Drosophila melanogaster: one gene and its partner. The protein of the gene in region 2 purifies or fractionates together with the protein of the main gene of each other region. This does not show direct contact. Each region holds a gene or a part of one and is shown on either strand. Other genes may lie near its edges.

Evidence for each region. The genes of interacting proteins can lie anywhere in the genome.
Region 1: the proteins of mTTF (region 2) and mTerf5 fractionate together in Drosophila melanogaster (co-fractionation; one study listed by BioGRID). This does not show direct contact.

The regions. Positions count from the first base shown.
Region 1 is NT_033777.3:18,221,556-18,225,308, forward strand, and holds the start of mTerf5 (mitochondrial transcription termination factor 5), read right to left. Parts: upstream 2,128-3,753; 5' UTR 1,876-2,127; coding exon 1,686-1,875; intron 1,634-1,685; coding exon 655-1,633; intron 604-654; coding exon 379-603; intron 320-378; coding exon 31-319; 3' UTR 1-30. Other genes in the region: Non3 (putative nucleolar protein 3), read left to right, coding at 2,264-2,283, 2,344-2,559, 2,628-3,354; CG7168 (uncharacterized protein), read right to left, coding at 3,421-3,753. UniProt on the Drosophila melanogaster protein: Binds promoter DNA and regulates initiation of transcription. Regulates mitochondrial replication and transcription. Required for normal topology and maintenance of mitochondrial DNA (mtDNA) levels.
Region 2 is NT_033779.5:14,346,690-14,350,429, reverse strand, and holds mTTF (mitochondrial transcription termination factor), read left to right. Parts: upstream 1-1,639; 5' UTR 1,640-1,723; coding exon 1,724-2,132; intron 2,133-2,196; coding exon 2,197-2,777; intron 2,778-2,832; coding exon 2,833-3,075; 3' UTR 3,076-3,191; downstream 3,192-3,740. Other genes in the region: l(2)34Fc (lethal (2) 34Fc), read left to right, coding at 650-721, 791-1,198. UniProt on the Drosophila melanogaster protein: Transcription termination factor. Binds promoter DNA and regulates mitochondrial replication and transcription.

The DNA.
Region 1 (3,753 bases), on a different chromosome or scaffold from region 2:
ACAAGCTATTTACAATTATATTGGAGGCACCTACAAGCGCTCCATAATCATTTTCTCTGCAGGCTTTACGCCGTACTTGTAGACCTTATTGAGACTTTCCGGAAAGTCGGGCAGTAGATTGTTGAAGTTCTCCACGTGATGTGTATGCTGCTCCGTCCAGATGCCGTCGCCCGTGAAGTGGAACTCCGATTCGATTAGGTAGAGAATGAGAGTCAGAATTTCGTTGTTGCTTAACGAATCGAAATTCGCCACTGGCAACTGCAGATCTTCTTGCGCATCGGGTGATTGCAAAAGGAGCATTTTTTCTTCAATACGTTTGCTGTGTAGAAACAAAAAGTATTAGGGCAAAATCGCTTGTAAATTAATTGTACCACTCACATGGGATAAAGCAGCAAGTGTATGTTCGCAAATATCTCATTAAGTTTAAACTTTTTGCTGCGTAAGTACTCCAGACACTGCTTCACGTGCAGCAATGGTATATGGCACCAGTTGGGATGGCGAGAGAGAAGATTGCGCAGCACTTGCACGTCCTTCCCCAAAACATTACTCAAGTAGACGACTATATCGCGGCCTTTAGTACGATCTGAGCCATCTCTGGCAAATCTGGAACATGGTTATTTGATTAGTCAGTCAATAAGCTGATAAGATTCTTACTTAGCGAACGCCTCGGACCCACAAGAAAGGATGTGCAAGGAGGCGCACCGAACCCGCAGTTGATTGAGATAATCCAGACGCAGTCGCGCCTTGTTCTGGTAGTGGACCAGTCTCAGGATTCGCGGATTGGTACCCAAGACTTGAAACTCCTCGATCTCCTGCAGATCCCTTAGTCGCTCCAGAACCGTATCCGGTCCAAGGGTGAGCACTTCCAGGCAGCGGAGAACGGCATCCTCACTGATGCCGAAAGCGTGGACGTGCTGCAGTGTTTGCTTCAAGCTATCGCAGGTGGACATCAAAATCTTGGGTCTGCGAAAGCCGATTTCTCGTATGTCCTGCGAGTCAATGGTAGGCACCTCTCGCAGGATGCGCCGCACGTTATCTGCTTCCGAATAGAGCAGAAAACTGTTCTTCCTTAGCCGCTCGGCGGAAAAATTAAACTCTTTGGTCAGCAGTTCAATGGTGTCCTGCACTGCTCGAAAACTCTTGTGGCGGATGCGCGTGTAAACGCGCCACAGCTTCTGTAGATCGTTGTCGTCCATCTGGAGACGTTCACGCAGGTAAGCGTTGATCAGGGATTGTCTCAAGCTCTTCAGTGTGAGGGTCTCACTCTCCAGCTCCCGTAAATCCACCGGCAGCTTGATATCCTTAAAATATCCCGCCAGACGCTCCGCCACCTTCACATCGAAGGGGATGTAATTATGTGCCTTCAAGACTTCTATCGGCTTGTTGACCACCGTCACATACTTGGCCAGCGTTTGGACAGTCACGTTGTGGAAGCCGCACTCCTGCAAGACACTGTGGCGATTGGCCAAAGTGGTGGCGCCATAATAGATGATCATGGGTTTCGCTATGATGTCGTCCACACTATAGTCCAGTGATTTCAAAGTGTCGTAGGAGCTTAGCAAGTCCTTGCGCTTTAACGTCTTGAGCTCTGGGTGCTTCTCTAAGGCTGCCGCCCAAGAACGATAGGAACTACCTATAAAGACGCAATAGTGACTCCCTAAATCAACTTTAAAGCCTTAGCTTACCCAGAGTTTTGGACAAATAGCTGGCATTCAGCGGCTCTTCCATCGGAATCTCGACTGTCGGTGGCTTTGGCAGTTTTGGCTTGAGATCCTCCTTCTTACTGCTGACCCGTTTCGAACTGGCCATTCCCCGCGCCAGCTGTCCAAGGCTCCGGGCCAGCAATTGCGCTTGATTCTGGCCGTTGCGCAGCATAATTATAACATTTCCCGCAGATTTATTTACAAACGGCAAAGAAACGTAACTGTTATCGGGGTGAATGACAACTGTTGCAGCTAGTGATGGGAGCACATATATACAAAGGGAAAAAATCAAAATATAATAATATAATATAATTTATATTATATATTTAATATTTCTAATATTATTTTGTTCAATGTTTGAGTTGCAAAAAGGCTTTGAGTGTGCAGAAAATGTATTCTCCCTTGATCTTGTGGTAGGTAATCAACTATCGATACGGCCGGCAAATCAATTTCATCGATACGACGACGGTTGTTTTCACATCCCTAACCCCGCAGCGTTGTTACACGTGCGCGTGAATTATAGTTTATTTGACTTGGTTTTTATTTCAAAACATTTAAATATGTCGCTTTTACGCATCAGGTAAGCATTGGAGATGAAGCCCATGAAATGCAAATGAAATCAAACCAACTGCGCTTCCAGGAAACCAAAAACCCGCAAGGGAAAGAAGGTGTTGCTGGCCAGGGAGCCGCAACTCATTGAATCCGCCCGCACAATGCTGTTTTTGGACGGAAGGAAGTGCGGCGGCAATGTGAAGCTGTGCATGAAGGACCTGCAGGCGCTGAAGAAGCCGCTGGTTAAAGTGCTGAACCGCAAAAACGACATTACCCCCTTTGACGATCCCTCATCTCTGGAGTTGTAAGTTTGGACAAAGCAAACAACTAAAATGTAGTGTATTTAATTGTAAACATCATTCGAATCACCAGCTTGACCATGAAGAACGATGCTGCTTTGTTCACGTTCGGTTCCACGTCCAAGAAGCGACCCGATAACATTATACTGGGCAGGATCTTCGAGAACGAGGTGCTGGACATGTTTGAACTGGGCATCAAGCGGTATCAGGCGATTTCCGAGTTTAAGAACGAGAAAATCGGAGCCTGCGTCAAGCCCTGCCTGGTGTTCAATGGTCCGAAATGGGCACAGACCGAGGAACTGAGGCGCCTTCGCAACCTGTTCATCGACACCTTCCAGCGCGAGAAGGTGGATTCGATCCGGCTGCAGGGCATCGAACACGTTCTGAGTTTCACGGTTACCGATGACATGAACATACTGATGCGTTCCTACCGGATACTGCTGAAGAAATCTGGCCAGAGGACGCCGCGCATAGAGCTTGAAGAGATCGGACCCTCGGCCGACTTCTCCATTCGCCGCACCAAGATCGCCAGCGAGGATCTGTACAAACAGGCACGCAAACAGCCCAAGCAGTTGAAGGTGGGCAAGAAGAAGAACATTAGCACAGACGCCCTGGGCAACACCAAGGGACGTGTCCATCTGGGCAAGCAGCAAACGGGCTCCATTCAAACGCGTCGCGTCAAGGCGCTGCGTAAGACGCCGGAGGAGAAGAAGGAGAACCGACAGCGCAAGAAGGTTGCTCTGAAGGCGGCCGCCGCCGAAGCACTGGCCTCACAAGGAAACAATCCCTTCTCTAGTTAATTTTAGTTGTAATAAATTGGTCCTGATTAAATTAGCTTTAACAAGTGTATGAGTTCTGGAGTCGTATCAGTGTATTCCGTCGACAATATTGCGAATGCGCCGCGTCTTGGACTCGGCCAACGCGTCCTCCAGCGTTTTGATCATGTGCACCAGACTGCAGACATCCGTCTGCACTAGCAAATCCTTTCGATGCAGCCGCTCGTCCTCCTGCATGGCCTTCAGCTCCTGTTCGCTGCGCCCGGAGATGTCCACCGCCAGCAGCTCTCGGTTTTCATTCTTCGGTTCGGTGTGCAGATATAGCTTCATAGTCACCACCACCTGACACTGATCCAGCAGGCTCCGCGACGCGGTGCGCACCTCCAGTCGCCAGTCCAGGTTGACCAGCCGATAGGCACGTAT
Region 2 (3,740 bases):
AACACTGCAGCCTAATCCACAAATCTTGTAGAATCACAGACTGTCAACAGTCAAGGCTGCAGAGAAATATACCCATTATGGCGACAACTGGGACCGAACAAACTGCATAATAAACGTTGGCGTTGACAAACTGCATAATTGGAGCTAGTTTTCAATATATTTGCGCCTGCCCACGTATACAAGTGTAAACTTTGAAAAGGAAAAAAAAAAAACTAAATAAATAAAAAACTTAAGCAAAGTCAAACTGGCCAAGGCCAGTGAAAAAAGTCTCACTTGAGTGGAAATGTTAATTAATTAATTTATGAAAAACTAGTTAACGCAATTAAGCAGCATGCACGAATCTAAAAATGTTAAACAATGACCGGCAGTAAATATATTTTAATATGTAATTGGATTCAACTTGAAAGCACTAGAAGTTGAAAGTAGAAACATTGACAAGTACTTGTGTCATTAAAACTTGTTCTGCTTAAGCATATTCGGTTATGGAAAATGGAAGGATTTCGCACACTCACTTGGTGCGCTTCGTCACTACGTGGACTGTTCTTCACAGTGATGTAGCATAATTAAGCCAACCAACTGGATTTTAATCGTTACTAAAGCGATGTTTCCAACTCATGTGATATTATTTTTAATTTTCCCTTAAACAGATATGTTCCGTTTGTTGGTTCTTGCGGCCTGCCTGGCCATCAGTGTCCACGCCTACTCCGATGGTGCTCCAAAGGTATGAACCTGCCCCATCGAAATACATGACGGATAGATTCCTTATATTCCCATCTTCATTATCCCAAAGGCCGCCTGTCGTGACCTGACGCCCCAGCACGGAGCCAAGCTGCAGGTGACCAAGCCGCCGTACAGCATCTCCGGACCCTCCCATGTGCGCTCGGATCAAAAGCTGACCCTGACGCTGGGCGGCGATGAGTTCCTTGGCTTCATGATCCAGGCACGCGATGGCCAGAACCGCGTCGTCGGCCAGTTCCAGGTGGTGGACTCCGTGCACTCGCAGACCTTGGACTGCTCCGGCAAGGACGACACCATCACCCATCTGAGTGCGCAAAAGGGCAAGCCGCTGACCGGCATCACCTTCGACTGGATTCCGCCAGCAGGCTACAAGGGCAACGTCAAGTTCATGGCCACCGTGGTGCAGACCGGATTCGTTTACTGGGTGGGTCGCGTCACAAAAGACATCGATGTGGAGTAGTGCTTGTGATAGATGTTTTCATGATTTGTTCAAAATCCTACAAGTCTTTGTTTAGCGTTAATGTTCCGATTAGCTTTGGAGCGTAGTATTTTTGAAAATAAAATCAAAAAGTTCGTTGATAAAATGGGAGTGATTTCAATTGTGGGACTCTCTGTCTAAGAATGCTTAGTAGATTTGAAAATAAATATTGGAAGTGTTTCACACTTATATTTAAAAAGTGTATGTGTATGTTATTGTGTATGAACCAGCACACTTCCTAAACATATTATGAAATCAATTGCACCTAGAAAAGTTATTATATTTTCCTAGAAAACAAATGCTAAATTTATTAAATTGCTGTTCCGAATAACGGTCATTATTTTCAAAACCGATAACGATAATTGTTTGAGTGTCGTATACTCCAGCTTTCAGTTGGCCCACTTGGTCAGCTGTTTATCGCCGCAACATATCAGCTGTTTTCCGCTTGTTTTATAAGTTGAAGAACTTTATTTTCTGTCTTGATTCTGTAAATTAAGCAAATTCGGGATGATTAGAAGCCTTCTGCGCAGCTTTGAGACGGCACTCAAGCTGCATGCCGGCTTAAATATGCACCCAATGCACTGCAGCAGGCGCCTACTCTTCTCGCAGTACGAAAACCGCGCCAGTCCGAGCAGACTGACCTCCAGTGGCACTTTAGGTAGCAACGAGGCGGAAAACGATTATGTGCCTTATCGCCAGGATCGGGAGACTGGAACCAAGACGCGGGTGCTCCTCGAAGCTCTGCGGGAACGTTTTCGCTTCACGGACGCTGAGCTCCAAAAGATAATCAGCGACGAGCTGGTGCACCGCTGCTACCGCGGTAGATCACTGACTCTGGTCATGGACACACTGCAGCTAGAGGGCGTTAGCAGGCGCAGCTTCGTGGAGTATCCTTGGCTACTGTCGCTGGACAATAGTAAGCTCATTTGCTTTATATCCTTTATGTGATTAAATCATCGGTTATTTGTTTATCTATTCAGAACGCTTGGAGCTAAAGATGCAGCTACTCAAGTCAATGGACTTTAAGGACATCAATCATTTTGTGCCTTTCCTGCGCCTCACTGTTCCACGTCTTCGAAAACTGGTGGGTGCTCTGAACTCTGAGAGGGATGCAATGCCACAGCGAAATCGTGTCTACTATATCAGCGAAAAGCTGGATGTCAGCCCCGATATTGTGAGCAAATATCTATCGAAGAGGCTGTTTATCCTGGAAATGCCGTTCGAGATGTTCGAAAAGAACCTGCAGCACATGATCGACTACAATGTGTCGCCAATAAACGTACTCAAGGATCTATGGGCCTTTCGCTATACTCCAAAGTCTGTTCAGTTGCGTTTGGAGCGCGCCAAGCGGGCGAAAAAGGACAAGATCATGCCGTGGATGGTGCGCTGCCCGGAGCCAATACTGCAGCGCTCCCTGAAGCTTTCTCTCGACGAACTGAAGGTTTTGGGAGAGTTCTCCTCCGTGGTGGAATACTTAGCGCATCGTCTTGGTTTCAGCACCAGTGAAGCCAAGGCAATCATGGACAAACATCCGCAGGTGCACACCGTGCGAGTTACCAAGGTAAGTCACAATGGGTTAACTCAAACAATCATAAGCTATACAATTTTGCCTTCAGATCAAAGAGGTGCTAGACTACCTACTCGATGAGGCCCAGTTTACCAGATTTGAGGTCGCTCAAAATCCTCGAATTCTATGCCACAGCCTGAAAACCACAAAGGAGCGCATGGAAGAACTGAAATCGCACGGTTGTCGACCCTCCTCTCTTGTAATTCTTTGCCGCAGCCGGAGGGAGTACGATAAGTTTTTGCAGAACTGGATAAGCCATGAAAGAAATCCGCAAAGTGTATCAGAAGGATGATGAACTGACGAATGACCTGATGCCATCACCGTGAAAGCTTAAAAAGTTGTTGTAAAGTTAAGATACTTTTTTCAAAAGTTTTGCCACGAAATTGAACACGATTAAAAGCCAATATTCAAAAAACGTTATTAATTACGACCAGGGGACCGCTGTTATGATGGTATCTTCATTTTTAAAGGACCCTTAACAAGTAAGGTTTCCATAATATTGTAAGGAAACCAATCAGGGAACCTTTTCGATTTCAATAGGTTTTTTAACCACCAGTCGGATTACTCGTCCTGCGGACAGAAAGTTTAGTTTGTTTAGTTTGGACGACTCTCTGCAGTCATTCTACCACTTCGGATGGCTTAATCAGTTGGAAATTTTCTTTCAACATTTATAAACGCAGAACAAACCAAATTGCAAACTTAGTTAATTAGAAAATTCCAGAAATGTTATTGCCCCTCCACATTTTCACCGTTAGCGATAAAAATTTCTTGAAAGCAAAAGGCAGCTAAATTATTTATGATGTTTATATTTAGCGAATGAAGTATTTTTCAATATTTTGATTGCTTTACAAGAATAGAGAATATTCTATATCTAGATACATAAACTATTACTGAGGTTCAAATAGAATATTGCTAACTGAGTTGTGTATAAAAGACTGGTTACTTTGGACGTGAAGC